3 linked regions of the Elephas maximus indicus genome follow. The protein of the gene in region 2 interacts with the protein of the main gene of each other region in a pairwise test. Links are inferred from orthologs where the notes say so. Each region holds a gene or a part of one and is shown on either strand. Other genes may lie near its edges.

Evidence for each region.
Region 1: the proteins of ZBTB9 (region 2) and LASP1 interact in binary tests that used the Homo sapiens proteins (3 or more experiments, as listed by UniProt). The two-hybrid records come from large-scale screens. The link is inferred for Elephas maximus indicus from reciprocal best matches to the Homo sapiens genes ZBTB9 and LASP1.
Region 3: the proteins of ZBTB9 (region 2) and TSR2 interact in binary tests that used the Homo sapiens proteins (3 or more experiments, as listed by UniProt). The two-hybrid records come from large-scale screens. The link is inferred for Elephas maximus indicus from reciprocal best matches to the Homo sapiens genes ZBTB9 and TSR2.

What each region holds. Positions count from the first base shown.
Region 1 is NC_064837.1:46,398,523-46,409,063, forward strand, and holds the start of LASP1 (LIM and SH3 domain protein 1), read left to right. Parts: upstream 1-5,801; 5' UTR 5,802-5,961; coding exon 5,962-6,030; intron 6,031-10,541. UniProt on the Homo sapiens protein: Plays an important role in the regulation of dynamic actin-based, cytoskeletal activities.
Region 2 is NC_064819.1:96,272,020-96,282,164, forward strand, and holds ZBTB9 (zinc finger and BTB domain-containing protein 9), read left to right. Parts: upstream 1-6,111; 5' UTR 6,112-6,324; coding exon 6,325-6,374; intron 6,375-6,552; coding exon 6,553-8,035; 3' UTR 8,036-9,819; downstream 9,820-10,145. Other genes in the region: SYNGAP1 (ras/Rap GTPase-activating protein SynGAP), read left to right, coding at 3,003-3,149. UniProt on the Homo sapiens protein: May be involved in transcriptional regulation.
Region 3 is NC_064846.1:113,558,620-113,568,977, reverse strand, and holds the start of TSR2 (pre-rRNA-processing protein TSR2 homolog), read left to right. Parts: upstream 1-5,618; 5' UTR 5,619-5,636; coding exon 5,637-5,720; intron 5,721-5,873; coding exon 5,874-5,964; intron 5,965-10,261; coding exon 10,262-10,353; intron 10,354-10,358. UniProt on the Homo sapiens protein: May be involved in 20S pre-rRNA processing.

The DNA of each region.
Region 1 (10,541 bases), on a different chromosome or scaffold from region 2:
TCCATGACTCCCAATCTGCCCTCGGTTCAGGCTCTCATGTGAACTATCGCAACTGCCTCTGAAAGGTCTGACCATAACCTCCCCTGGCTTAAAACCCTGTGCTGGCCCTCCAGTGCTTGGGGAAAAAAGTCCAAGCTCCTTAGCATAGCACTGGAGTCTGTTCAGGAACTGGTCTGTCTGTCTCTCCAGCCTCATCTTCCATTCTGCCTCTCACACTTCATACTCTAGCAACCCCCAACTGCCTAGGATTTCTGGACACATTCTTCTGCTTCACACCTCCTTGTATCTGTGCGTGCTCTTTTCTGCTTTACCCACTATGAGTTTTTCAACACTTTGCTCAAATGTCACCTCTTCCCTTTGCCATCTCACAAACCCAGCATTCTCTCCCCCAGAACCACCTCTTAGATCAGCGGTTCTCAAATATTTTGACCTTAAAAACACTTAACACTCTTAAATTATTGAGGGCCGCAAAGAATTTTGGTTTATATGGGTTCTATCTATCGACATTTACTGAATTAGAGTTTAAAATTGAGGAATGCTTAAACGTTTATTTATTAATTGAAGATAACAATAATCCTGTTAATCTAAATAACATTTTTGAGTGAAAATAATATTTTTCTAAACAAAAATAATTTAGTGAGAAGAGTGGCATTGCTTTATATATTCGAGGAATCCCTTTAACGTCTGGCTTAATGAAAAACAGCTGGATTTTCATATCTGTTTCTACAGTTAATTTGTTGCAATATCACCCTTCACGTAGAAGTACCACTGTATACTCATGAAAGAATGAAACAGGCAAATAATGGGTGAGTATTATTATGAAAATAGCTCCTTTTTCCTGGAAGACTCACTAAAATAGTCTCGAGATACCTGAGGGTTCTCAGACCACACTTGAGATACCAGTGATTTAGAGGATGAATGAAATGTTAGAGATACCACACTGTACAGTAATTTATTTGGTTGTATGTTGATCTGATGTTAGAAGGTGAAGCTCAGGAGGATAAGGCATTTTTATTCCTTTCTGTATTCCCAGAGTGTTTGAAACAGAATACTTGCTCAGTTGTATACACCTGGGCGATGGAGAAGTTTGTTTCCTGGATTGGAGGATCTTTTGGGGGTTTTTTTGGTTGTAAAATTGTCAGCGGGGTAAGCAGCGCTAACTTTTCTCTGTTCCCAGAATTTCTAGTTGGTTCTGCCTTAAACTGCGTTCACTCAATATCTTCCATTGTCTTCCATTTTGTTCATTTGAGGATGACTAACCAAAAGCAAACCAAACCCCCAAACCAAATCAAATTTCAACTCATAGCGACCCTATAAAACAGACTAAAACTGCCCCCATTGCGTTGCCCAGGCTGTAAATCTTTACCGAAACCACGGACCTGTCACCTGGCAGCCGAGCGCTCAACTGCTGCACTGCCAGGGCTCACTTTGAGGGTAGATAAGATACGTAGTCTTTTATAAAACTTGAAGCTTTAGGGGGCACCCGGATTTGAACCGGGGACCTCTTGATCTGCAGTCAAATGCTCTACCCCTGAGCTATACCCCCTCTGCTGGAAAGCGTTAGATTACAGCTTAATTGTCATGTCTCCTGAACGGACAGTGCCTCTGGTAATTGATAGCAGCTTAATACAAGTAGCCCTGGTGGCCAAGTGGTTAGAAATTTGGCTACTAACCAAAAGGCTGGCGGTTCAAAGCCACCAGCCGCTCCTTGGGAACCCTGATCTAAGAGGCCGCTTGGTCAGAATCGACTCAACAGCAACGGTTTTGTTTCGATTTTTGGCTATAATTAACTACTTCAGGTTTCCCAGGGCCAGAAAAAAGAGCGGATGATGCTGGAGGGGGGAAAAAAAAATCACAGAGGCTGTTACGCTTTTGTCACTAAACAATCTGGGCCCAAATGGTGGGAAAGTAGGGAGAAGTCGCTTCTGACCCAGGCTTAAAGGTCCGTGCCATGTGCAATGGAGTGTCTCTCCGCCATCACTACAGCCTTTTCTACTCTGGCACCTGGGAATTCTTTAAGTCTACTTTCCATCCTCTCTGCATGTAACCTGATCTACACTGAATCCCCAACCCAGTGATTTGCACACAAGAGGAAGTGTTTCTCTCGCTTTTCCTAAGACCACCTCTGCTCCCATCCCAGACTTGCCCCCATTGTCTCTATTCTCCCCGGTATCTTCAATCACCACTCCACCTCTTTCCAGTGTCAACAGGTTCCTAGATTGGGAAATTCTTGTTTTATCTGTGATTGCCTCCCCATTGGTTTCTTTCTCAATGCCAAATTTTAAGAAAGTCTGTGACTTTTTTTCCCTTTTCATCAACGGCCTGTCTCCCCAGTTCTACTACCCTCTGCATTTGCTTTCTCGTGGTATGTTATTTTTTCCCTTTGAGTGTTTATCTCTAGCAGTCTAGGTGACGATTTAAAAAAAACTCCTGCTGAAAACCGTCCAGTGGCTTTCTATACATTTGGAATAAAATCGAAACTCCTTACTGAGATCTACAAGGCCCTCCACAGACCTTGCTACTTTTCCAGCTCTCCTGAATCATTCTCCCCCTTGTCCGCCTTTCTCCAGCCGTTCTGGGCTTAGAACCTTTGTAGTAGTCATTTCCTCTACCTGAATGCCACACTTTCCCCAGATGGCCAGATTCCTCAGTCATTTTCCTTATCACTGCCGGGTATTTTCTCGTTTATTTGTGGATTTATTTCTAATGTATACTCCTCACTAGACTGTTAAGGCAGTGAGAATGAGAACCTTGTTTCTCTCTGTTGAAAGTAACTCCTGCGCCTAGAGCTAAACGTGCACATAAGTGCTCCAAAAAGAAAGAAAGAAAGGAGACCACTAGAGAACATGGCCAGGGAATTATTCTCAGTGTAAACGGAGATGCTTTTTAAGCTGGTGTTTGTATTCTTTTTAGAGAGATTAGGGGAAAACATTCCCTATCTAGTTTTGAAAGACGTTGTTCTCTGACTTGTTAGGGGAGAGAGATGAATGGGATTGTGGATAAAGAATTGAGCCTAGAAAAGGCAGATTGGTACATAAATTCATGTTTTCTAACTACCATGTCTTGAATTTGATGTCTAAAATTGTGTCTTGTCATGAGAAAGAAGAAAGTTACTTTTTACAAATAATCTCCAGCATAAAGGGGTTTTGGAATTGGTGTAAAAAGAATCTACCAGACGGTTGCCAAGAGCGGGGGTATAGCTCAGTGGTAGAGCATTTGACTGCAGATCAAGAGGTCCCCGGTTCAAATCCGGGTGCCCCCTCTTCTCACTTTTATGGCAGGAATTTAGTCACAACAAAAACTCGAATTAAAAATCAGCCAGTTCAGAATCTGAATCTGTGCCCACAGATGCGACGTTTTTCTCGATCCGTGAGCAGCGTTTTTCACCTGGTTTACCTTTTCACATGTTCTCCGAGCCAGAGAACCAGAGCAGCAACCCAGAAGTCTGAGCCGCGTACCCCGACTCGCCGGCGAGAAATCCACGCGTGCTGTTTCAAAGCAGAATCGAGGCGCCGAGCGAACTCCGAGGCTGATCCAAACCCACTGGTTATTACCTGGTTTAATGTTAATTGTAATTTCGTTTCTGGATGAAAATGGCGTGTTGGGAGCAGGGCGTGGTGGGAAATAGTATTATTTTGCCTAGCCTGTATTCTAACCAGGAAAACTAAAAGAACGAATCCAAACTTACAAGATTTGTACACCCGTTAAGAGGACACAGCACACATGGAAGACAAGGTGAAAGACCATACTCTCCGTTCTTTACATTGCCATGGAGATTAGAGCTTTTGCCTGCGTAACTTGTAGGCTCTAAGTTCGGGGCCTGGTCTTGGGGAAATAAGCAAAAACTAGTTTATTCTTTGAGTGTTTGGTATCAGACAGAATTTTCGCTCTCTATTCATGTCCAGTTCTGCCACGCAGCTCACAGTAATGGAAACCATGTTAAAAAAAGAAAAGAAAAAAAAAAGGCTCCCGAGTACTCCCCCGGGGCCGGAGGCATGACACAACCAGATTCCAGATCTAAAATATCTTGCCGCTGCCCCCTGACCCAGGCAGCGTGCCTCTCCCTTTCTCCTTTATTTTTCCTTTTTTTGGGCAAAACCCAGTGGAGAGGGACGTTCCTGCTTCTCCTTTTTTCACACTTTACATTTCCCTCCTGCCCAACGGTGATACTGTCAGTGAGGCAGACAGCAGATATGTTTCCATTAGGTTATGAAACTCGATGGCCTGGTATTATTATTAGTTCAGTGGTTCTCAGAGGGTGACCCCCGGGGACCAGCAACATCAGCATCACCTGTGAACTTATTAGAAATGCAAATTATCGGGGCCAGACCTACCGAATCAGATCTAGGGTGCTCAGGAAAAAAAGAAAAGTGCTTTTCTGGGGATATTTAAACTGTTTTTTTTTTTTCAAACAACAAACCCTTCAGGGGGTGATTCTGATACACGCTGAAGTTTGAGAACCACTGTATTAGCTTGTATCCGGTTGCATCAGATTAAAACTTTTAAGTTTGTACTTAAAAATGAGCTTAGGGGTGTGCATTGGGCATTTTAACGTTCTCGAAGTGGTTTCGCACTGCCTGTGTCATGAATAATAGGGAAGGGTGACCACAGCACGCCCTTGTCTCCGGTGATATAATAAAGGAAGTTGAAGTTGGAGAAGGGCTGTCTCTGTGGATTTTCCTCTCTTGACCCACCTCCCTACACCCCACTGGGAACGGAATGGCAACTTGGGGAAGTCATCCTGTCCTCTGATCCCGCACCTCAAATTGCCTGACACATCTGGGGCTGGCAGCTGTGGCCGCAGAAATCCCGACCCCTCCGGCAGCTTTTGTACCTGATTTGTCCGCGCACCCTCCCCCTCCGCTGAGCACAAAGCAAAACCGAAGGCTTTCCGCTGAGGCTGGAAAATGAGGAAGGGGCTTTTTTCTTTTAACCTAGGACCCAGTGTTAAAATATGAGAGTGAAGGAAAAACTAAAAAGAAAGTTACAGTAGTTATAAGGAAGGGAGAGAGAAAAACTTTAGAGGGGGCACCCGGATTTGAACCAGGGACCTCTTGATCTGCAGTCAAATGCTCTACCACTGAGCTATACCCCCGCGCCGTTCCACCGCCTGAAATTCGCTCTTTTAAGTGCTAAGATACACTTGCGGCTACTACACTGAGCGTGAGACGTGGGGATTAGGTGAAAGGAACGAAGGAGGAATGGGGGCGAAGCGGTAACCAGAAGGTACCCGAATCCGAAGAACCCGGGGGAAAGCTACGAGGCAGAGGCGCGGGGAGGGAAGAACCACCCAGGGCCGCCAGGCGTAGAGTTGGGATGGGAGCGACAGGTCCCGCCTTACAAATGTGGGAACGGATATATGGGGGAGGGGTGCTAACTGAGGGGCGGGGCGGGGAGGGTTCCCGCTCAGTCTGCGGGTCACACCAGGTACCGACGGGTACAAGGAAAGTCCCCGAATAATGCCCTACGGTGAATCTGGTCGGGCGTTCAGGACAGGTGCGCGGGGTTTGGCCACCTCCCTCAGCCCGGGCGCCCCAGGTGTGCGCCCAAACGCGCTCCGCACTGCTCCTAGCGCTAGAATGGCTCGGGGGCGCCTCTCCCGGGGATGTCTGCCAGGGCATGCAGGGGCGCGGGGGCCCTTGGGACACACCTAGGCGCGCACCCGCAGCCCCGCAGCCCTCCCCGGAACCCACCCCCGCGCAGCCCCACGTCGCCCGGGGAGCGCGCCTCTCCGCGCGCGCCCCTGCTCGCGCCTGCGGCGCGTCCCCGCCCCGGTGCAGCCCCTCCTCCTCGCCGTGTTTATTAGGGGAAGGAGGGCGGAGGCGGAGGCCAGTTCCCCAGCTCCAGCCGCCGTCGTCGCTGTCTGCATAGTCGCAGCCGCGGCCGCCTCCCGCCAGCCCGCGCCGGGGACAGAGAACGCGCGCGAGCTCGGGCGCTCCCGCTCCAGCCTTTCCCGGAGCCATGAACCCTAGCTGCGCCCGGTGCAGTAAGATCGTGTACCCCACGGAGAAGGTGAACTGCCTGGATAAGGTGAGCCCGCAACCGGAGGCGCGTTTTTACAATCCCGGAGTGCTCAGGTTGGGGGAGGAGAGAGGGGCCGGGTCTAAGGCGATCCCGGGAGGTGGGAGGGAGGGCGGTGTCATGGGATATGGGGGCAGACCCCAGTCTGGAATCCAGGAGATCTGAGGCGAGACGGAGAGTCCACGCGTGGCGGGCGACCACTCCAAGAGAAGAGTGGGCTCTGTGCGCCGGGGGTGGGAGAATGGAAGGGGAGCGGAGAAGCCGGTTGTGTGTGTGGCGGGTATTTAGGGGTGCAGTCCCACCCCCTAAGGCCGGGAGAGTGAGAGGAGACGGCCGCTCCCTTTCCCCGTTGCGCGGAGCGCCAAGTAGGCGGAAGCGCTGGGCGCTGGGGGAGGGGGCGGCAAGGGGGCGGGGCAGAGACGGGGGGTGGCATGCGAAGACGTCCCCTCTGGTCGCGGATGGCCCAGCTTTTTGGCTGGAGACTGGGAGGCGGCGAATATGAGTCGGCGAGTGTTGCATATGGTGAAGGGGGTTTCGGATAAGGACACGCACCCCACAGCGGGACCCCCTTTTTGCACGACATGCGGTCCCTTTGGTGATTCGGTGGTTAATGAACTATCAGACCTCCTCCTTTCGCTTCCCAACCCCCACCTCAAATTAAAAGCCAATTCCGGGTGCTGTGAGGCCCAGCCTGAACGGGGCGGGGTCGGGTGCTGGAGTGGGGTGTGTGTGGGGAATATTTCACAGAGATCTCCAGAAATTGTGCTCAGAGCTTGGAGACCGGTTTGTAGAACAAAGAGCTAACTTTTCAAAGCAGGTTTCCCCAATGGAGGGTGGGGTTGGCTGAGTTCAGAGGAATCCAAGGAAAAGGGAAGGTATTTGGGGGGAAAGGAAGGTGGCCTTTTGGAAATTCACTGTCCCCTGGGGGTCCGTATACGCGCCACCCCCATCCTAGACTCCTTCATCTGGTTGCCATTATACTTTGGCGGGGGGGGGGGAGAAGAATAGAATTGGGTGTTTCCAGCACAGTTTGGGTCTGATCCGGTCCTCTTGGAAGCTCCTTAGGACCCTAAGGCAAAATCTGACCCCCTCCACATCCCCTCCCCAGACAGGAGCAGAGGCCACTGGGATTTTGTTCCTCTCTCCATTGTGCCTTTCCACCCACCTCCCAAAGCGGACCCAAGTGCAAATATTCCCACCTTTCTGTTTGAATTGGCAGGGGTGAGGGGGTTCAGGGTGGAAGAAGGCTGCAGAGCCCTGGGGCCAAGTTCATTGCCGACCTGAAGCTGGTTTTGTTTGGGAAAGAATAGCTCATTGGATACTTTGTGTCTCTCCTCCCCTTTGGGGCTGAAACTTCCTCTGTGACCTTTGGTTCTGGATCAGGGTGAGGGGATAGGATTCTGAGGTTCAGAAATACGTTTGAAATTGCTCTTGGGGGAAGAGGGCATATAAGACTGCTGCTGTTTCACTGTCTGTCCTGGGTTGGCTGGGCGGGGAGAGGGGGGGATGTGTGGGCAGAAGGGGAAGTTGTTGACCTTCCCAATGACCATTCCAGCCTCTGGAGGGTGGGACTTGAGCTTGGAGGGCTAGATCAAGAATTGTTCCCTTGAGAAGTTTATCTGTCTTTGCACCCTGGGTTTTTTGCTCTTCTCTGGAGGTAGAGATTTTGGCTTCTGCACTTTGAATTCCCTGTGCCCCCTTTTTCTCCACAGTCATGAATTGGGAAGAGGCAGTAGACAATTTTATCCATGTAAGGCCCATATGATGGAGGACTTACTAGGCTGGGAGTTGGGAGACTGGGTCCTAGTTCTAGTCTGCTCCTGTCAGCTTTATGAACAGCTCTGGGCTCCAGTTTTTGCCATCTGTCAGATGGGTATGATGATGGCATTTCCTTGGAGGTGGGGCAGTGTACTTGGAAAGCACCTGCCAAAGTGCCCACAAGGGGTTGTGGTAGGCTATGCCCTCCCTACCTTTTGAGATCCTGTGTCTAGCCCCACACCCAGCTCCCTTGTAAAGACTTTTGATGCTGTGTGTCAAAGGGGAGAGGGGGCAGAGATTCCTCAAGGTGCCCTCCGCAGCTGTTCACTTCCCCAAGCTGGAAGGGGACAGTCAGGTGGGGGTTGTCCAGGGGAGTGGGAGCTGATGATTCCTCCCTCTTTTTAGAGCTCTCCCTACAGGAGGTGACCCCAGGAAGACTTCGCCCCCTGCACTGAGCAGGAGGCCTGGAATATCCAGGTATCAGACTTACTCTTCCCAACCCCCTCCTGGCAGTAAGGACAGGCACCTGGACCCAGGAACTGGTGCTGGAGGACACTGTGCTGAGACCTGGGATGGGGGAAAATTCCGTCCCATAAGCACTGTTTCTAGCCAAGTTCCTGAGGCTTCCCGTTTACAACAAGAGGTTGTTACAACAGGAAAATCAAATTAGATTTGGCCGTTCCTCTACAAGTCCCCTACAGCACTTAATCCCCAACGGGGCCCAAAGCACAAGCTACTTCCTCTGGATTAGCCTTTTCTCCTCCCTGAGCCATATCTCCCCAAGGTATAGGTGGGTAAATGCTGTCGCCTCTGACTGGCCACCCTGCCCCCAACCTGCAGTACCCAGTGTGCTCTGCACGGTGAATAAATATGTATTCGCTGATGACTATGTTTGAGGAAGGAGGTTGAGATTTACTTCTTCCCCAGAGGATTTCTGGGATTAGGGTTGGGGGAGAAACAAGGTGACCTCATTCCCACATTCATTCTACAAATACTTATTGAGCACCTACTTTGTGTCAGGCACTCTGGAGGGCTGCCACAGGGCCTTTGGGGAGGGAGAGAGGCCTTGTCTTTCTTTCCTGTCAGCCATGTGTCCTCTACGTTTTGCCTGAGGTGGAAAGTTCTGTCACAAGCCTTTTTTGGGAAACATTTGTTTCTGGAGACCTACATTGTCAAGAATCTTGCCATGCCCCTCTTCCCTAGCTTTCCCAGGTGCGTGGAAACAGGTAGAGACACTTGGGAAGATAGATGGAAGATTGGTCTGCCCATAATTCCCCTGGAATCCCCACTAGGGTGGGGCTCTCTGCCTCTTGTTATCTGAGCCCTTGGGCAGGAGACAGCAAGGTAGAAGGAGGCTGGTCTGGACAGTGGGATCCCTGGATTCAAGGACATGAAAAGGAGACAGGTCCTTGGAGCTGTGGTACCGGATTTTCCAAGTTGAAGCTAAGAAGACCCCACGATTACCCTCCATTCACAATAGCTACTACTTATTATGAGGTGCCAGGTCTTCACAGCAACCTCACAAAGCAGGTGTTACTGCAACTGTAAATTATGAACCTGATAAACTGAGGCTCAGATGTGTAATGTGGCTTGACTTTCCACACTTCTTTCTGCCCTGTTATTCTGCCTAGTATGTTTGCAAAAAAGTATGTTTAGTTACACTGTCTCTTTGGTGTCAGAAGTGGGTCCCAGTTCTTCCTGACCCTGGGCAGTTGGGACCCTAGCAATAAAAATCCCTTGGAATTTGTGGAGATGCAGCAAAGTTTCAGAGAGGGTCTGTGCGTTTAAGCCAGCAGCCCAGGTGGCCAGCTGAGCTAGGCTGGTGACCTGGCCAGGGTGGGGCTGGTATTGCCCCTGGAGGAGGGAGAAACTGTAACCCTGGTGGACAGGAAGGGAGGAGAGAGCTCATACTCCAACCCTGAGTCATAGCTCGGGTGCAGAGGGCAAAGAGCCAGGCTGCAGTCGAAGCAGCTACTTGAAGCTTGCTACCCTTCCTCTGCCCGCCCCCCCACCATTGAGAACCTCATGAGGCCACCCTTCCCTAGCTCCAAATGGTGATTCTGAAAGAGTGGGGCGGGCCCAAGTCCAGCCCAAATTAAGGGAAATCTCATGCAGAGCTTCTGCCTCTATCAGCCTCAGTTTGCCTTTCTGTGGAGTGGGTTGTAGTTTTGGAGCCTCAGAGTGTGAAGGTGAAGCTCAGCTAGAGCCTGGTTGCTGGGCTGAGAGGCTCCTAAGAGCCCTCACAGGTTTCGCCTGGGGGCAGTTAATACAGAAACAATAGACTTATCAGGAAGCAGGATAGATTACAGTTGCACACCCAGAGCTGTTCTTTGCTCTCTTGAGTCACAAGTTTCAGGAATGCTTCTCTGAAATCTTCTTACCTGGGGCCTCTGTGAAAGGGGTACTCTTGCTCTGGGACATGGCTGGGTGCCTTGCGAAGAGGACGGAGGCAGGCAGAGGGTCACTGTGGGAACATACTGACTTATTTGCATGACTGTGTCTTTCATCAGACCCCCTCATTTTTGAGACAGGGTTGGGTCTCTTTAATCTTGAGTTCCCTGGTTCCTGGCCTAGGTTGGCCCACAGGGGCTGTTGAGTGACTTGTCACATTCTGCTTCCCCTCCCCACTGCTTTCTTACTCTAAAGAGGGCAGTGGCAGGAGCTGCTGATTTTCTCTAGTCTTGGGGTACTCTTCCAGAGAGGAGAGGGAAGTAACATGAAGCAGCTAAGGCACCACGCTAGGTGCAGAGCCTGCATCACCT
Region 2 (10,145 bases):
CCATGACCCCACTCTCTCCCCCTGCAGCTCCTCATCAGGTAATTCTCCTGGTTCCGCTTTGACCACGGGCGGAGGACACAGGGGGAGGTGACTCCGGACCACTGCAGGTTGGTCGTGAAGCCCACTCCCCTCCGACCCTCCGGAGCCTCTCCTCTCTCACCACTGCCCTCCACACCCAGAGAACCTCCACAGACCCTACTCTCCTGACACCTTTGCACAGACCTATCTCCCAAGGCACCACCCAAAGAGAGTGCTTCCTGTTGCCTTCCAGAACTGTTCCGAAATACCTTACCAATACGCAGAAGCATTTTATCCTAGGCTCAGCACAGTCACAGACCACACCCCTAAACACTCCATCCTACAAAGCCACCCCCCACAGCCTCCTCCTGACTCTAAACTCTCCTCTTCCTTGACCTCTCCAGTGTACGTCTGTCACCCCCCATTTCACCAGAGCGTCCTTGGGGGTTGTGGCGTTGGAGGTGGGGTGGAGGTGATGATGGGTTGGGGAACCCTGGCTATAGGGGCTGTGCCGACTGCAGCAGGTAGGTTGGGGTTTCCTCTTCCTTCCCTAACCTTGGTTATCTACCCCTTCTTTCTGCCCCTCACCTACTTCTCTCTCTTCTTCCTTCCCTACAACTCTGAGGCAGAAGGCATCTGGGGCACCTATTAGCCCTCATTGGGCAGGAGTTAGGAATGGGTGGTTAACTCAGGGAGACTTTGGAGGGCCCTGGAAATAATGCTGTTCAGATGTCCTGATGGTAGAACAAGGAGAACCTAATGGGTGGAAGGAGAATGGGCAAGAAAGGAACCTTGGACAGATGTTAGGATGTGGGCTTGCCCGTGAGGACTTGACCGTGTGGCGTGGGAGTTGGCTGTGGGGTGAGACATCTTCTTTCTATGATAAGATCATGGGCTTAGTAGCCATGTTGATTCCCAGGCAGAGATGCCAGGAACAGCGTGTTAAATAACCTCTCTATTCTCCTCAGAACTCACAGCCCCAAGGGGTTGCTAAGGCTACTCACTCCTCCTCTCCTGCCACCCAGTGGCCTTGCCGGACACATATTCCTACCTAAAAAGCCTGTAAATGGGAACCTGTTAGGGACTGACATCATTTCCAAGATGCTTTATTTTTATTTTTATTTTTTTTTTTTATTTTCTGTGGGATTGATCTGCAGTGGGCAGTGTGGCTCCTCACACTGTAATTTTAACTCTCTGCCTGCCCAGCCTTTCTGTCAGAGTAGTTAGTGATCTGTCAACAGATGCTAAAAGGCACCAGGGGACCTCACCATTTAAAGGACTCCTGCAGTGAATTCTTTTGTAAAATGAATAATGGCACCCTAATTTATCTACTTTCTAAATTTGGGTCCACGGGGGTGTAGGGGGCATGCCTAAGTGCTGTCGCCAGCAGATGAGCAGAGAGAAGGGAATCTGAGGTTTCCTTCCTTGCTCTCCCGCCATCTCAGGATACCCTAGCATACGTAATTTCCTCTCGCTGACTTGGAGAAAGTGTGTGATACACCCAGCCAGCTAAGAGGGCAGCTTTGCTCAAGGCTGGGGTTTTGGTGACTGAGAGTTGAGCTCTTTGATCCTGGGATGGAAGGGAGAGCTGCTCATCTGGGAGCCTTTACTTGGAATGTTTTTGTATTCTTGGAGGATATGGTCAGGCATAGCTACTTTGCCAGGCCTAAATGCCCTGTGGCCCTGGAAACAATTTGGACATTTGTTTGAAACCACTTCTGGGTATCAGTCCCTGTGTGACTTGGCTATTAAAAAATTAAAAAAAAAAAAAATTTTCTATTGTGCTTTAGATGAAAGTATTAAAATTAATTTTGACTCTGTATTTTAAAAAACCCGAGTGAGTGACCCAGAAGTACAGATGGCTTTCTTTCTCTCTCTCAGCTGAGGGTAGGAAGCAAGAATTGGTCCAGGATTAGTAGGAGGAGATGAGAATAGGACCAGAGGTGGGAGTGAGTAGGGTCTGGTACCTCTCACTCTCTAGCTGGGATCCCAGGGAGAGGGATTAAAAAGAAGATGGGGGTGGAAAGGAATGGAGCCAGTTTCTGCTTCCTGGGGATGCAGAGATTGGGGCATGCTGTGTCTCTGCAGAAGCTTCTAGTCGTTTTTTGCCAGAAGTGTGAGAGAGGCAATCCCTCCCACAACATTTTTCCCTTTCCAAATCACTTCCCTGAATCCCCTTCCTTTCCCCCCAGTACAGTTAAACCTCTCTAATTTGGAATGTTATATTTGAGAAGATGGCCACTCTGAATAAGTGACAAAACTGAATGACAGTGTCTATTTAATGAAATGCATGTCTTCAAAATACATACAGTAAGTAGAACTTGATGAACAAGGCTTTTTCCACTCGAGGCCCTCAGGGAGCATGCGTTAATGAATAGATAGGATTGAAAAGTCTGTTTTCTGGTATAGGTTAAATATTCCCTCCTACAGATGCATTTCCACCATAATTTGCTTAGCACACCCTTTCTTCAGAGATAAAGGAAAACTCAAGCCCAGTTTCTGTTCAGATTATGACAAAAATTCCAAATCCATGGGGGTTTGGATTAATGAGGTTTTGCTGTACTGCCTCCCCTTGTTCCCTCAACACAAAATTCCTACCTCGGGTTTCGGGGTGGGCTGGGAGGCGGGTCCCAAGAGAAGGAGGGTGGGCTGGGCAGGGAGTATGCGGTAAAGATAGAGGGGATTGGGTTGGGGAAAGGTAGGAACTTGTTTCTTTTGAGCTGGTTTCCTGGTGTGACTCCCTGGGTTGAAGGCCCCAGTTAGGAGTCTAGGGTTGAGATTTTCTTCTCCCTGACTCCAGAGGACATAACTTCTACTGCAGGTGAGAAACAAAACAGGATGGTGGGGATTGTCCTGGGGGGAGGGGGTGGGACATGGCTTGTGGAGTGGTCGGGCTATGGGGGAGGCCACAGCTAGGGGGCTGGCACCCAGGCTCCCGCGAAGCGTCTCAATAAGTCCGCGCTCTCCTCTTTGGTATCTTGCAGGAGAGGCAGCTTCCCCCCTTGGGTCCAACAAACCCGCGTGTGACGCTGGCCCCACCTTGGAACGGCCTGGCCCCCCCAGCCCCGCCCCCCCCACCCCGGCTACAGATCACCGAGAACGGCGAGTTCCGAAACACCGCAGACCACTAGCCCACCCAGCATCACCGACCCATCCTCCTCCTCGCCCATGCACTCCACCCCGGAACAGCACCAACCACCAGGACTGGACTTCACCGAGGGACAGCGGGAGTGCCTCCCTGGATGCCTCCTTGGGGAGCACCGATCCCCTACCCCCACTGCACCATTCCTAGAAGGGAGAGTGGGGACCCTCAGCTGCTCCCTTTCCTACCTGTCGGGGTGCTGCCCCCTCTGTGACCCCCAGGGACCCTAGCCCTAGGACACCACCTACCCCACACAGACCCCTTCACTCCGGGGTGCTATCCCCATCCTCTGCCTCATCGTTCCCCTGAGCACTGGGGGACAGACCTCGCCCCCACCCTGGGGGTGTGGTACCTCCAAACTTTCAACTTCAGGGTGATTTTTTAGCAGTAACCAGAGCTGACAATCTAACTCCCCTCCACCGCCCCATTTTGGCCTCCCCTGCCCCCCTTGTTATGGGGAGGGGACCCCGGGTGAGGGGGCCCTATTACCCCTTGATTTCTCAGGAGCGTCTGGGGGGGCTCAGCACGCACAAACTCCTTCTCCTCCCACCACTCTTAAATTTACTCCCTTCCCACCCAGAACCCAGATGGGGTGGAGGGGGCCACCGGGGCAGGGAGGGGGCGGCAAGGGGGGAATGGGAGTTGTCTCCCTTCTTCCCACACCTGATCTGCTCTCGGCTGGTCCCAGAGCGGGGTGAGGGGGCTCATGCCCCCCCCTCCCCCAGTGTGTTGGGTGGGGTGGAATTGAGGTTAGAGTGAGGGGATGGGGTTTAGGACGGTGTGTATGTGGGGGAGGACAGACTAGTTTACCTGCCATATCCTCACATACAGTCCCCCTGCCCCTCCCCTCTCTCTTCTTGGTCTCTACTCCCAGGGGGAGGGGGGAACTTACTCTAGGAAAAGCCATGTCTCCCTCCCCCCAGGGTGGGGGGGACCTGTGATGGAGGAGGGGTGTTGGGGGGGCCCCCTTCCATGACTGTGTCCCCTGGGAGGAGGTAGGACAGGGCTGTGCTTCCCTTTCATCCTCCCTACCCCCCAATCTCCCTTCTCCCCCTTCCCTCCCGCCAGCTCCAGAATTTTTCGGTGTTTCTCTGTACATAGCTCTCTGGCGGGATAGGGGAGGTAGGATGGATGGGGTTTGGGGTGGGTAGGCCATGGGAGGGGAGAAGCCCCTCCTAGGCACCCCCTCTTCCCTAACTGCTGTCCCCTACCTAGCCTTGCCTCCACATCCTTTGCGTTTGGTATTGAGACTCTTCCCAGACTCCGCCCTTTCTTTTGTATGGACAGTTCCCCTTCAGACCCATCTCCCTACACACATACACCCAGCCGGGGCCAAATTTATACTTATATAAAAGTTGTAAATATGTGAAATTTTATCCCTGTGCCCTTTCCTCTGCTTTCCCACCTCAGGCCCTACCCCTGGACCCCTGTTCCTCCTCTCCTCTTTGGCTGTTGTAATTATCTGGGGTTTGTACTGTATATATCCAGGGTGTGTGTGTGTGTGTGTGTGTGTGCGCGTGTGGGCTGGGGGCAACCCCTCTGTACAGAGCTTCCCGGCCCCCCCCCTCCACTCCCTCCCCACCCACCATCCTAAGGGTAGGGGACGCTTTTCCTACCAGTTTTATTTTGTTTTCTCGTTCTCCCTCCCCACATGACTCCCAGCCTTCTCTATCCCCCATCACAGTCCCTTTTTCTCCACTCCCAGCCCCGTTTCCTTTTTTTCTGGAGTGTGTGGTGAAACAGAAAAATGTTTAATAAACAGAGATTGTTCTTTTATTGCTGTGCTGACTTTCCTAGGCGAGGCCCTCAAGATGGACCAGCAGGGTGGTAGGATCTGCTTTTCGAGAGGAGACTAACAGTCTGGAGAAATGACTATTATCCTTCTCTGAGTGCACAAATCCTCACAGAATGACTCTCCCACCCAGCAAGGAGATTTAATTTTTTTTTTTTTTATTATGAAGAGTAGGGGTTTTGCAGGGACTAGTCAAACCTCCCCAATGTAGTGTGCCCTCACCCACCGTTCCACTTAGACTGAAGGAGCAAAGATGGAGGAGGGGAGGGGCTCCTGATAGAAGATTCCAAGTACATGTACCTAAAAAAACTACTTTGTAAAAAACTGTCTGCCATCAAGTTGGCCGTACTCATAGCAACCCCATGCACAACACAACACCGCTTGATCCTGCACCATCACCATGATCAAGTTGTGGATCGGCCAGTTGGTGACCTATAGGGCTTTCATTGGCTGGTTTTTGTTAGATAGGCAGGTCTTTCTTCCTACTCTTAGTCTGGAAGCTCCTCAGAAACCTATTCAGCATTAAAGCAACACTATGCCTCCATTGATGGTGCCTGCCCTGAAGTGCACTGGCTGGGAATCAAGCCCAGGTCTTCCCCGTGAAAGGCAAGAACGCTACCACTTAACCACCACTGCCCCCTAGTAAAAAATAATTACCAGAAATAAGGGTTGTTTAATTCATTGCTGGTGAAAACGCTCCTGTGCGGAATGGAGGAAATTTGGTTTCCAGTTCCCGGCCCACCATTTGCCAGCTGAGTTTATTCCAGCCTCGGTTTTCCTGCATGGAAACCGAGGATGTAAACACCTACGTGGAGGAGCTGGTGGGAAGATAAAAGATGATGTGGCCAAGCATCTAGCTCCCAGTAGGTGCCCAATTAATCTCGCCGTTCTCAGCCCCTATGGGGGGCCGGGCGCTACATTCCATCACCACGAAACGCAGTTTTCCGGGGCGACTCACAACTCGCTCCCCCACGTACCGAGTCGGCAGCGTCCCCCAGCCACCTCTTCGGCCCAGGCGCCAGGCCAGAAACCGCACCAGCTCCGCCCCTCTCACCCGCTCAACCAGTCAATACCAGGCTTGTAGACTGCCGCCCTCCGATTGGCTGGCGCCCCAGCCTGCTGGTTGCACTCGGCGTAGGCGTCCGGCGAGGAGGCGGCGACTTCCGGCCCAGGACCGCGCTGAAGCTGCGGATGCGCTGTTAGGTCCACACCGCGTGTGTACCGGTGGGGGTGTGTCGGCGGGCAGGGCAGCCGGGCGGGGCCCCGCGGTCTCTGCTGGCCGTGGCCTCCCCGGAGCCGACCTCGGGCACCGTGAAGGGAGACGGAGCGGCGGGGCAGGAGCGACCCCGAGCTGGCGAGGTCAGGCTCGTGGATGAGAGACTTCCTCATCTTATTCCGCAGGCCTTGGAAGTTACAACCCCGGTTGGTAACTTGTCGTTATTGTTTGTTTTTTTGTTTTCTTGGTGGGGAAGTGTGCGGGACTAATCTGCCAAAACCTCCACAGACTGAAAAGTTGACAAATGTTGGAGGGTAGTTGTTTGAGGAGACATGGTTCCCCTTATCCAGGGCTTCTGTGACCCCCCGTCTCTTTCCTCCACAGCCTTCATCCCGCGTGGGATCTCTCCCCAGCCCCCTTTCTCCTCTTGGCCACCCTCTGGGATCGCTCTCTTTCCGAGGAGGCCATGGATACCTCGACGCCTTTGCCGCCTGTGGCCCCCTCCCCCGTCTGCAACCCAGCTCCACGGACAATCCAGATCGAGTTTCCTCAGCATAGCTCATCGCTGCTGGAAACCCTGAACCGCCACAGGCTAGAGGGGAAGTTCTGTGATGTGTCTCTCCTGGTGCAGGGTCGGGAACTTAGGGCTCACAAAGCCGTGTTGGCTGCTGCCTCTCCTTACTTCCATGACAAGCTTCTTCTGGGGGATGCACCGCGTCTCACCCTGCCGAATGTCATTGAAGCTGACGCCTTCGAGGGGCTACTTCAACTCATTTACTCAGGACGCCTCCACCTGCCACTAGATGCTCTGCCTGCCCACCTCCTTGTGGCCAGTGGCCTCCAGATGTGGCAAGTAGTAGATCAGTGCTCAGAGGTTCTTAAAGAACTAGAAGCCTCAGGTGGTGGACTCTCAGCCCGTGGAGCAACCCCATACCGCTCAGTTCTTTCCGCTACATCCACTGCAGGAGGCTGGTGCCTTCGATCTCCCCCTTTCCAGACCCCAGTGCAGTCATCGCCCTCTGTGGAGAGTCCTGTTGTAGGGGAGGGAAATGAACTGGGAGAGGTATTACAGATTCAGGTAGAGGAAGATGAGGAGGAGGAAGAAGAAGAAGATGAGGACCAGGGGTCAGAAGCACTCTCGCAGACTCCTCAGCCTCAGAGAGTGTCAGGAGATTTCCCCCGCCTTCATGGATCCCACCCATCACCAAAATCCACTACTCCCTGCAAGCTTCCAGAGGGCGAGAGTGCTCCGTCAGAGCCTCTTACCACTTCTACTGCACTGCCCCTCAAGATCTTCTACATAAAGCAGGAACCCTTTGAGCTTAAGGAAGAGATACTAGGAGGTGGAACTCAGTCTGGAGGAACAAAGGAGGAGACCAAAGTGTTCCCTCGGAACACTGAAAGAGATGGGGAGTTAGAATTATTGCTGCCCTCAGGAGCAGACGCACCATCTGGGGGAGGAGGCCCCTCCTGGAAACCAGTGGATCTTCATGGGAATGAAATCCTGTCAGGAGGTGGAGGACCTGGGGGAGCAGGGCAAGCTGTGCATGGGCCTGTGAAACTAGGAGAGGCACCCCCTGCAGATGGAAAACGCTTTGGTTGCTTGTGTGGGAAGCGATTTGCAGTGAAGCCAAAGCGGGACAGGCACATCATGCTGACTTTCAGCCTTCGGCCCTTTGGCTGTGGCGTCTGCAACAAGCGCTTCAAGCTGAAGCACCATCTGACAGAGCACATGAAGACCCATGCTGGAGCCCTGCACGCCTGTCCCCACTGTGGCCGTAGGTTCAGAGTCCATGCCTGTTTCCTTCGCCATCAGGACTTATGCAAGGGCCAGGGCTGGGCCACTGCCCACTGGACTTACAAGTGATTTCTGAGGCCATACACTGATTTTCAGGACAAGAGAGCCACTGCTACTGATGGATACTCACCCCTCACTATCATTGCACTTCAATCCTGGATCTTGTAATCATGTCAAGAGGGTAGATACATTATGGGTCTGTGTATAACCTCTGTCTTCAGTGTGGGCCTCAGCCTGGCAATTTGGAAACTCAGATTTCTCATCTCACCCCGGGTTTTTGCTAACCACCCTGTACCAAAGCCCACTGCCATTGAGTTGCTTCTGACTCATAACGATTCTATAGGACAGAGTACAACTGCTCCATAGGGTTTCTAATGCTATAAATCTTTATGGAAGCAGACTGCCACATCTTTTTCCTGCGAAGTGGCAGGTGGGTTCAAACTGCCCTCCTTTTGGTTAGCAGCTGAGTGCTTAACCACTGCACCACCGGGGCTCCTTAACCACTTGATAGGAAGGTGGTTTACAGGTCATATTTAAACTGATCACTTGCCCATAATGGACCCTCCTTTCCTGGTGGTGGCGTCCATTCAAGAAACTTAATTTCAGATCAGAGGGTTATTTGGTGAGAGATGAGTTAGAGCAAAAAGACATGATGATAAATTTTACATTCGGTCTCTGTGAAGGGTTAAAAGAACCAGTGTCTACGTAGAGATACACTTGATTCAGAGTTTGAGTAAATGGATGACTAAGCTCTAAGCTTCCCTCATCACTGCTGGAATGATGTGAGCAGAGATCTTTTTCTGTACCTATTTTGTTGTATCTTTCCAGAAGCCTCTCTGATCGTAACTTACTTTCTTACTAGTAGATACCTTCCCAACTTTTATTTTTTATATTGTAGTTGAGCACTTTAACACACTGAGCATTCCATGTGTCATTCCTTGAACCCTCTTTAAGAGAGGGTATTCCCTCACTACCCTGTGCCTCTTTTCTGCCTTTGTCACCACCACTGGTCCCTCATATACTAATCACAGTGACTGAAATGTGAGTCGACTCAGGAGATGGCCACCGACCTAAATGCTGCCAGGGCAGCACCACTGCACTCTGAACAAGTTGCAGTGGGCAGAAGGACTCAGGGCTGAGATAGCTCATGTTGAAGTCTAGAGAGTAACTGCACAGTGGAACCACACCCTCTCTCTTTCCCTCCCAACCCATACCTGATGGGACAGCCTTGTTGAAGGGTGGAGGGGTAGACCTTGGAATGGGGAGGTTGTTGCAGGTTACTTAATTTCTCCAAATAAATTTTGCCCTGAAATCTAAGCTGACGGGACTGGACTGAGTAATTTGTGTGGGAGATAATGTGAGAACAGAGCTGCAGAGACTTAGTGTGTTCATTCTGTGACTGGGTTATGTTGATGGGAGAAGAATGGGATGGCTTCACACTGGTGCAGAGAACACTCCTGGACTTACAGTGGGTCAAATTCTAGGCCCTGACCTACTGAATAACCTTGGGTAAGTTACCTTTCACAGTCTGAACTACCTTTTTTTTTTTTTTTGGTGGAGTGGGGTAAAGTGCACTCCCAGCTGGTTCTCTGCCTTGTTTTTAAAAGACGTTTCATGTAATCTTTACCAATAATAGTCTCTGACTTCATGTATTGTGTGTGATGCTTGATAGTTGTTCAGTCTTACATTTAGTGCAAAGCACTATGCTAAAAAAAAAAAAAAAAAAAAAACTATGCTAGACCCTGGTTAATACTCTGCCCTGAAAGAATTCACAGCTGGTACAGAAAATAGACAATTACAATATGGTATAACTCCATGATCTAGGGCAGTACAAGCTACTGTAGTGGCACAAAGGAAACAGAGCAAAGACCTTTCATAGGTCAGTGGTGGTTTCACAAAGAAACACCTGACTCCTTCACGTGCTGGTGTGGCTCTGCGGTTGGTAGCTGAACTGATGGGAAGCTGTTGACCACAGGAATTATATTCACAACTATAGGGCCAGGGGTGATAGCCTTCCCCAAAGTATATTTCTTTGGGGGGATTTTTTAAAAACCGCTTTATTAAGTGTAATTCACATACCATAAGTTTTACCCATTTAAAGTGTGAAATTCAATGGTTTTTAGTATATTCACAGAGTTTCACAATCGTCACCACAATCAATTTTAACTCTCTTCATCCC
Region 3 (10,358 bases), on a different chromosome or scaffold from region 2:
AGAAAGCTGAGTGCCCTTCCACACAGGCAGAGGGCTAGGGAGAGGCATACCTGTGAGAATGGCTGGGAAGAGGCTATCCTGATAGAAGAACTGTATCTTGAGCATTCCCGAACCTGAGTTGTAACCCGTTACTTCCCTAATAAACCCCAACATCATGAGTATTGTCTGTGAGTTCTGTGTGGCCACTGTAATGAATTATCCAATCCAGCAGAGAGACAGAGAGTGCTGTGGGAGGGACATTTGGTGTCAGAATTGGTAAAGATGGTGTAGAGAGGAGGCATATCTGACCTCTGCCTCATAGGAATCAATCTTGGCTGTTGATCGTGATTCTCCTTCCCCCTTGTAAATTTAGAGGAGGTCAGACACTGCCCCCATGCCGTTTTTATACTTGGTTAAATTTATTCCTGTCATGGATTGAATTATGCCCCCCCAAAAATGTGAGTATCAGTTTGGCTGGGCCATGGTTCCTGGTATTGCGTGGTTGTCCTCCATTTTGTAATTTTATGTTAAAAAGGATTAGGGTGGGATTGTAATACCCTCGCCCAGGTCACATCCCTGCTCCAATGTAAAGGGAGTTTCCCTGGGATGTAGTCTGTATCACCTTTTATCTCTCAAGAGAAAAAAAGGAAAGGGAAGTGAGCAAAGGAGGGGGGACCTCATACAACCAAGAAAGCAGTGCGGGAGCAGAGTTGCATCCTCTGGACCCTGGGTTCCTGTGTGAAGAAGCTCCTAGTCCAGGGGAAGATTGATGACAAGGACCTTCCTCCAGAGCCAATGGAGAGAGAAAGCCTTCCCCTGGAGGTGACACCATGAATTTGGACTTCTAGCTTACTAGACAGCGTTATACAGATGACACGACCTTGCTTGCTGAAAGTGAAGAGGACTTGAAGCACTTACTAATGAAGATCAAAGACCCCAGCCTTCAGTATGGCTTGCACCTCAGCATAAAGAAAACAAAAATCCTCACAACTGGACCAATGAGTAACATCATGATAAACGGAGAAAAGATTGGAGTTGTCAAGGATTTCATTTTACTTGGATCCACAATCAACAGCCATGGGAGTAGCAGTCAAGAAATCAAACAACGCATTGCATTGGGTAAGTCTGCTACAGAGGACCTCTTTAAAGTGTTGAAAAGCAGGGACGTCACCTTGAAGACTAAGGTGCGCCTGACCCAAGCCATGGTATTTTCAATAGCATCATATGCATGTGAAAGCTGGACAATGAATAAGGAAGACCGAAGAAGAATTGACGCTTTTGAATTGTGGTGTTGGCGAAGAATATTGACTACACCATGGACTGCCAAAGAACAAGCAAATCTGTCTTGGAAGAAGTACAACCAGAATGCTCCTTAGACGCAAGGATGGCGAGACTGTGTCTTACATACTTTGGACATGTTCTCAGGAGGGATCAGTCCCTGGAGAAGGACATCAAGCTTGGGAAAGCACAGGGTCAGCGGAAAAGAGGAAGACCCTGAAGGAGGTAGATTGACACAGTGGCTGCAACAATAAGCTCAAGCATAGCAACGTTTGTACGGGTGGCGCAGGACCAGGCAGTGTTTCGTTCTGTTGTGCATAAGGTCACTATGAGTCGGAACCAGCTCAACGGCACCTAACAGCAACGTAACAGTGAGAAAATAAATTTCTCTTTGTTAAAACCATCCACTTGTGGTATTTCTGTTATAGTAGCACTGGATGACTAAGACAATTCCTAAGTATTTTATTCTAGTTGATGTTATTGTAAACGCAATTCTCAATTTCACTTTCAGATTGTTCATTGCTAATGTATATGAATATAATTGGTTTTCTTATATTGATCTTGTATCCTGCAACCTTGCTGAAATTGTTCATTTGTCATAACAGTATTTTTTGTGGATTCCTTAGTATTTTCTACATATGAGATGATGTCATTGCAAATATAGTTCTTCCTTGCCAATCTGGGTGCCTTTTCTTTTTCTTGCCTAATTGCCCTGGCTAGAAACTCCACTACAATGTTGAATAGAAGTGGTGAGGTTGGACATCCTTATCTTGTTCCTAATCTCAGGGGGAAAACATTTATTCTTTCACCATTTAGCTGTGAGATTTTCATAGATGCCTTTTATAAGGTTGAAAAAGTTTCTTTCTCTTCCTAGTTATTGAGTGTCTTTATCATGAAAGGGTGTTGGCTTTTTGAAAAACATTGCTTCTGCATCTATTAAGGTCATGTAATTTTTGTTTCTTATTCTATTGATATGGTGTATTACATTACATTAATTTTTAATTACATTAATATTTTCAACCAACCTTACATTCCTGGGATAAATCCCACTTGGTCATGATGTTTAGTCCTTTTTATGTGTTCCAGAACTCTATTTTCTAGTATTTTGTTGAGGATTTTTACATCTATATTCATAAGGGATATTGGTGTTTATTTATTTATATATTTTCTGTGATGTCTTTGTCTGGTTTTAGTATCAGGCTAATACTGGTCTCATAGAATTAGTTGGGAACTGTTCTATCCTTTTCTATTTTCTAGAAGCATTTGTGAAGGATTAGTGTTAATTCTTCTTTAAATGTATGGTAGAATTCACCAGTGAAGCCATCTGGGCCTGGGCTTTTCTTTGCGCGAAGTTTTAAAATTATTAAATCAATATCTTTACTTGTTATAGGTCTATTCAGGCTTCTACTTCTTTTTTTTTTCCCCATTGATTTTTTTTTTTTTTGTGGTAAGTATATACATAATGGAAACCCTGGTGGCATAGTAGTTAAGTGCTAAGGCTGCTAACAAAAGTTTCGGCAGTTCAAATCCACCAGGTGCTCCTTGGAAACTCAATGGGGCAGTTCTACTCTGTCCTATAGGGTCGCTATGAGTTGGAATCAACTCAACGGCGCTGGGTTTGGCTTGTTTTTCTGGTTTATACACATAACAAAACATTTGCCATTTCAACATTTTTTATTGTACAATTCAGGGACATTAATTACAATTATCATGTTGTGCAACCATCACCACTACTCATTTTAAGATTTCTCCATTACCCTTTCCATTTCTTCTCGACCCAGTTTTCATAGTTTGTGTGTTTCTATGAATTTTTCCATTTCATCTAAGTTATCTAATTTTGGGGCATTCAGGTGTTTATAGTATTCTCTTATAATCCATTTTGTTTCTTTGTGGTCAGTAATGATGCTTCTGCTTTTATCCCTGATTTTGTGAATTTAGGATTTCTCTTTCTCTCTCTCTTTTTTTCATAGTCAGTCTAGCTAAAGGCTTGTCAATTTTGTTGATCTTTTCAAAGACCCAACTTTTGGTTTTATTGATTTTTCTCCGCTATTCTTCTATTCTGTATTTCATTTTACTTCTGCCCTGGTCTTTATCATTTCCTTCCTTCTGCTTGCTTTAGAATTACTTTTTGCTCTTATTTTTCTTGTTTTCTAAAGTGGAAGGTTAGGTTGTTGATTTGCAACCTTTCTTCCTTTTTAATATAAGCATTTACAGCTACAAATTTCCCTCTAAGCATTGTTTTAGCTGTATCCTATAAGTGTTTTTCCCCCAGGTTTTTAAAAATTGTCTTATTGTGGTAAAATATATATATATATATACATATATATGTACGCATATATAAATAACAGAACATTTGCCAATTTAACATTTTTTAAATGTAAGATTCAATGGCATTGGTTACATTCATCATGTTGTGCAACCATAGCTACTATCCATTTCCAAATCATTCCGCTACTATTAACACAAACTCTGTTTCTAAGTGAAGCTAGAAATTAGTGTTTCTACGTAAACCTCAGTGAAACTAGCTAAGGTTGCACCTTCCTCCATTCCTCCCACCCCTGGTAAAGCTAATAAATGGGATCATACTATATTTGTCCTTTTTGTGACTTATTTCACACAACACTTTTCAAACCATTTTTTTATTGTTGTAAAAATTCTCTCAACATGTTTTCGTCCATGTTGTAGCATGAATCAGGACTTCATTTCTCTTTATGGCTGAGCAATATTGCATTGTATGTAGGTATCACATTTTGTTAATCCATTCATCTGTTGATGGACATTTAGATCGTTTCCAGCTTTTGGCTACTGTGAATAGTCCTGCAATGAACGCTGGTGTACATCCTACAAATTTTGGTATGTTGTGCTTTTGTTTTCATTCATCCCAATGTATTTTTTTTCTCTTATTGTGCTTTAGGTGAAAGTTTACAACTCAAGTTAATTTCTCATACAAAAATGTATACACATATTGTAGTGTGACATTAGTTGCAATCCCTCATATTTTTTAATTTCCCTTTTTTCCTTAGACCCATTGGTTATTTAGGAGTGTGTAAATTTCCACATGGAAACCCTGGTGGCATAGTGGTTAAGTAATGCAGCTGCTAATTAAGGGGTCAGCAGTTTGAATCCCCCAGGTGCTCCTTGGATACCCTATGGGACAGCTCTACTGTGTCCTATAGGGTTACTGAGTCTGAATGACTCCATGGCAGTGTTTTTTTTTTTTTTAATTTCCACATATTTGTGAATTTCCAAAATTTCTTTCTGTTATTGATTTCTAATTTCACTCCATTACGGTCAGAAAACATACTTTGTATGATTCCCATCTTTGTAAATTTATGGCCTAGAATATGGTCTATCCTGAAGAATGTTTCATGTGCACTTCAGAAGTATATGTATTCTGCTGTTTCTTGGTGCAGTGTTCTATAGATGTTAAGCCTAAAAACCCATGCCCGTGGAGTAGATTCCGACTCAAAGTGACCCTATAACAGGGTTAGAACTGCCCCGTAGGGTTTCTAGGGCTGAAATCCTTAGAAAGCAGACTGCCACGTCTTTCTCCTGTGGAGCTTGTGGGTTCGAACAGCCCACCTTCCGGTTAGCAGCGCCCCCAGGGCTCTCCTCTATAGCTGTTAGGATGCTTTTTAAAAATGCAGATTCTTTATGCTTGGCTCCCCAAGGTTGATTCCTCCACCCCAAGGACCGGAAATATGTATGTTTTTTTAAGTTCCCCCTACATCTTTCCTGCGGAGTACCCATAGCCCAGAACCCAGGATCCGAAACCGAGTGACCCCAACCGTCCGCCACTTCTGGCGTCCTTATTACAAGTAACTGTGGTGTTGCCAAGCAGTTCTGGTGGTGCAGTGGTTAAGTGCTCAGCTGCTAATTGAAAAGTCTGCGGTTGGAACCCACCAGCCGCTCTGCGGGAGAAAGATGTGGCAATTTGTTCCTGTAGAGATGGGGCAGTTCTACCCTGTCCTATAAAAAATAGGGTCACTAAAACCTGTTGCTGCCCAGTCGATTCCGACTCATAGCGACCCTACAGGACAGAGTAGAACTGCCTCCATAGAGTTTCCAAGGAGAGCTTGATGGATTCCAACTGCCGACCTTTTGGTTAGCAGCCGTATCTCTTAAGCACTACGCCACCAGGGTTTCCGATAGGGCCACTATGAGTTGCAATTCCACTGAGGGCAATGGGTTTGGTTTTTTGGGGGGGTTTCGGTTTGCGGTATTCCCATCGATCGCTCTGATAGACTTTTCTATTGCTCTAGCCTTGATGCCGGCTCAGCGAAAAGCTCACCTATTCTCAGATCGGCCTCTGCGTCGGTTTGCCTGGACGATGCTGCGGAGGGATTGGTCGGCTTGCGCATCACGTGGTTCGCGACCGGATGATGGCGGGCGCTAGTGGAGATTTGTGGGCGCTCTTTGGAGCTGGCGTCCGCGCTGCGCTGGAGGCTTGGCCGGCCTTACAGGTGAGTGGGGCCAAGGACAGGATAAAGGTTAGGACTTGGAGCAGAACAGGAGTTGTCCGGCGAGGCTTGACTGGGTGGCATAAGCAGCGAATCCTCACCTCACCTCGGGACGGCTCCCGTGCTGACATGGTGGACTTGGGCCTGTGTTTGCAGATCGCTGTGGAGAATGGCTTCGGGGGCGTGCACAGCCAGGAGAAGGCCGAGTGGCTGGGGGATGCAGTGCAGGAGTACTTCAGCCGCAACGGTGAGTGAACGTGAGGCGCTCGGACCTGTCTGTGTGGAGGCGTGGAGAAGAGGAGCCTAGCTGTATGGGACAGGGAATATCGACACCTCAGACTTGTCTTAAGGGGCATTAAAAGAATAAGGGGCCCAACAGTGGACCTGTTGCATAGTGTAACATTTAGGCAAAGTCGGTTCTCTCAAGAAAGTTTACTATCTGGTAAAGGAGCCAGACAACACAGAGTGATAGATGTTCTGATAAAGAGGAGCTCAGGGTGCCGGGGGAATGTGAAACTAGGGGGAAGGCTTTTCAGGGGAGGTGGTGGTTGGGCTGAGTCTTAAAGGGTGAGAAGGAGTTAACTAGGTGGGGGAGGCAGAGAGAGCAACGCTCGCATGAGTTCTGTGGTATGAGGTATGTGATATTTGGAAAGTGGCAGGGACGTATTGGAGTAAGGGTGTGGGGGTGGGGAGTGATGGAGAACGAAGCTAGGGGGTAGGGAAAAAAATGACAAACCAAACTGGTTGCAGTGCAGTCAATTCTGACCCGTAGTGACCCTACAGGTCAGAGTAGATCTGCCCCATAGGATTTCTAGGGCTGTAAATCTTTCTTCGCTGGCGGGTTTGAACAGCCAGACTTTTGGTTAGCAGCCGAGCGCTCAACCCCTGCGCCACCCCCCAAAAGACTAAAACATAGAAGGCCTTACACGTCTTTAATTTTTTCTTTTAGGCCAGTGTTTGCTAAAGTAAAATGCATGCTGTGGAAAGCTAGTCCTGTTAGATGTTCAGTGAAGATGAAGCTTCTCTACTTAAATTATATAAGAAAAGCTCTTTTCTTTTGCTCCCACTTAAGAGTCTCAACATTTATTAGCATATTAAAGGCTTGGATAAGGATAACCAATTGCCATCATGTTGATCCTGACTCATGGTGACCCCATGTGTGTGAGTAGAACTGTGTTCCATAGGGGTTTTTTTTTTCCTCTCCTCATAGGGTTTTTAATGGCTGATTTTTTATAATAGATCCCCAGAACTTTCTTCCATGGCACCTTTGGGTGGACTCAAACCTGCAACCTTTTAGTTAGCAGCTGAGTGCATTAACTGTTTGCACTACCCAGGGTTTCCTTGGATAAGGATAACCAGTTGCTGCTGAGTGGATTCTGACCTATGGCCACCCATGTGTGCAGAGTAGAACTGCACTCCATAGGATTTTCAAGGCTGTGACCTTTTGGAAGCAGATCTCCAGGTCTATCTTAGGAGGTGCCTCTGGATGGACTCAAACTGCCAACCTTTTGGTTAGTAGATGAGCACCTAACCAATTGCATCAGCCAGGGACTCCTTGGATGAGAATACCAAAAAACAAAACCAAACCTGTTGCCATCGAGTTGATTCCAACTCATAGCAACTCTATAGGGCAGAGTAGAACTAACTGCCTAATAGGGTTTCCAAGGCTGTAATCTTATGGTATCAGACCGCCACATTTTTCTCGCACAGAGTGGCTGGTGAGTTCGAATCGCTGACCTTTCGATTAGTAGCCGATAACCACTAAAAAGACAATTGTTTACCTGTGTTTCCCGTTAGCTTTCTATGGACCAGAAGAAGCCCTGGTGGTGCAGTGGTTAAGTCCTTGGCTGGACCAAAACCCAAACCAAACCCCCATTGCCGTCGAGTCGATTTTGACTCATAGCGACCCCCAACAGAATGGATATTTTTCAAAGGCAGACTATGAAACACTGAAGTACGGGTTAAAAATTCATAGGCAGGTCTAAGGTGAGTAATAGGATGGGATTTGCTGGCTAGAAAGATCACAAAATAATCAGTATGGAGCATGGACTAGAAGGGGAAAGACTGATGAGAAGGCTGTTTATGTTTAGAATATGACGAGGCCTAAAACTACTCTCTCCTACAGGGTCACTATGAGCTGGAAGCAACTCGATGGCAACGGGTTTAAACTAGGGCAGTGGCAGTGGTCGTGAAAAAGAAGGGGTGGATTAGGGTCTTGGAGATTGCTTAATTGTAGATGGGGAGGGAAAAGAGGGCAGGTTTCTGGTTTGACTCACCGGGGGGATTAGGTACCTTTCACGGAGTAGAGAAAGGTCCCTAGAAGGCTCAAATGGTTTATGCTTAACTGCTAGCCTAAAGATTAACGGTTTGACCAAAAGCAAAGAAGTTTCCTGAACACAACCGAACGCTTCGAAGTGATGGGGGTTTGGGGACTATGGTTTCAGGGGCCATCTAGGTCAATTGGCATAACAAAATGTATTAAGAAACATTCTGCATGCCACTTGGTGAGAGGTGTCTGGGGTCTTACATGCTAGCAAGCAGCCATCTAAGATGCATCAATTGGTCTCAACGCACCTGGAGCAAAGGAGAATGAAGAACACCAAAGACATATGGTAAAGATGAGCCCAAGAGACTGAAAGGGCCACATAAACCAGAGACCTTATCAGCCTGAGACCAGAAGAACTAGATGGTGCCCAGCTACCACTGATCACTGCTCTGACAGGGAACACAACAGAGAATCCCTGATGGAGCAGGAGAACAGTGGGGTGCAGATCTCAAATTCTCATAAAAAGACCATAAGCCTGATCTGGTGGAGACTGGAGGGACCCTGGAGGTCACGGCCCCTGGACCCTTTGTTAGCCCAAGACAGGAACCATTCCCGAAGCCAACTCTTCTGACAGGGATTGGACTGGACTATTAGATAATGTTACTGGTGAGGAGTGAGCTTCTTGGCTCAAGTAGACACATGAGACTATGTGGGCAACTCCTGTCTGGAGGCGAGATGACAAGGAAGAGGGGGGCAGGAGCTGGTTGAATGGACACGGGGAATACAGGGAGGACAGGAGTAATGTGTTTCAATAGGAGGAGAGCAACTAGGAGTACATAGCAAGGTGTGTATAACTTTTTGTATGAGAAACTGACTCGATTTGTAAACTTTCACTTAAAGCACAATAAATAAATAAATTAAAAAAAAAGAAAAGATTAATGGTTTGAACCCACCCAGTGGTGCTGTGGAAGAAAAGGCCTGGCAATCTGCTTCCATTAAGATTACAGCAAAAAAAAAAAAAAAAAAAAAAAACAACCCTGTGGAGCAGTTCTCTGTAACACATGGGATCACCATGAGTCAGAATTGGCTAGACGGCAACTAACAACAACATGGAGCAGAGGAACTCTGGAGGATGAGAAGCAGGTTTTGGAGGATAAGTGATGAGTCTGGCTTTGGATATGGATGGTCTAAGGTGCCTGTGAAACAACTAGGCAGAGAGGGTAGTCTGAGTTGGAGGCAGATTGGGGGGATATTAGGATAGAGTGGTGGAGTCCCTAAGTGGTGCAAACAGTTAAACGCTTGACAACTAGCAAAAAGGTTTGCAGTTTGAACCCACCCAGAGGTACCTCAGGAGACAGGCCTGGCCATCTGCTTCCAAAAGCCTTGAAAACCCTATGGAGCAGTTCTGCTCTGCACACATGGGGTTGTCATGAGTTGCAATTGACGTGACGGCAACATACAACAGGATAGGATGGTAGGAAAAACTAAGGGGGTGAATGAACTCCCCCAGGGAAAACATGTAGAGTGAAGAGAGGGTGAGGAGCTTTGTGGAAGTCTTTCTTGAGTTCTTCTCTAATTCAGAAAAGTAGAGGGTTTGACCTGAGCCTGTAAAGAGACTGAAACCCGCAGAAGAGGACTTGGCCAAGGTCACACAGTAGAATTTTGATGTCAAGGCTGTGACATCGTAATTTAATCATCATTGCAAGTACTTACACTCATTTCTTCTTACCTACCCCACTGGTCTGTGGCCTCCTGTATCAATAGTGCCACAGTTGTGAAGTATTTCTATTCTTCAAAAATGTCAGTCTTTGAGTGATGGAAATTAACATGGATTATGGATCTCCCTTGTGCCAGGCATTGTCTTGGATGATACCTCCTAACAGACCTTTAAGGAGGCCACTATTAGCCCCATTTTATAGATGAGAAAACTGAGGTTCAGAAAGGAGTAAGTAACTTCTCACGGTCACATGGGAGGGTTACCAGATAAAATAGGCCCAATGAATGAGGGTGAACACGGGGCTGGCGGCTGGGAGCTGTGGTAATACAGGGCTTGGTAGGATGGGATATAGGAAATTAAGTATTAATATTTAGTGTTTTTTTTTTTTTAAATCATGTTAAGACCTAGACTGCAGAGTACCTCAGTGAATAAAAGGCTTACTATTCGGGCCTTTACCTACCAACCAGATGTGGACCCACCAAATAAGTACTGAGGAGTATTGGACAGGGTTGGTAAGGTTGGCTGGTCTTTGACCATAGGGCCCTATCCTTTCCTATTCAGCTGACTTGGAGCTAGATGAGGTGGAGGACTTCCTTGGGGAACTCATGACCAACGAGTTTGATACAGTTGTGGAGGATGGGAGTCTGCCCCAGGTGAG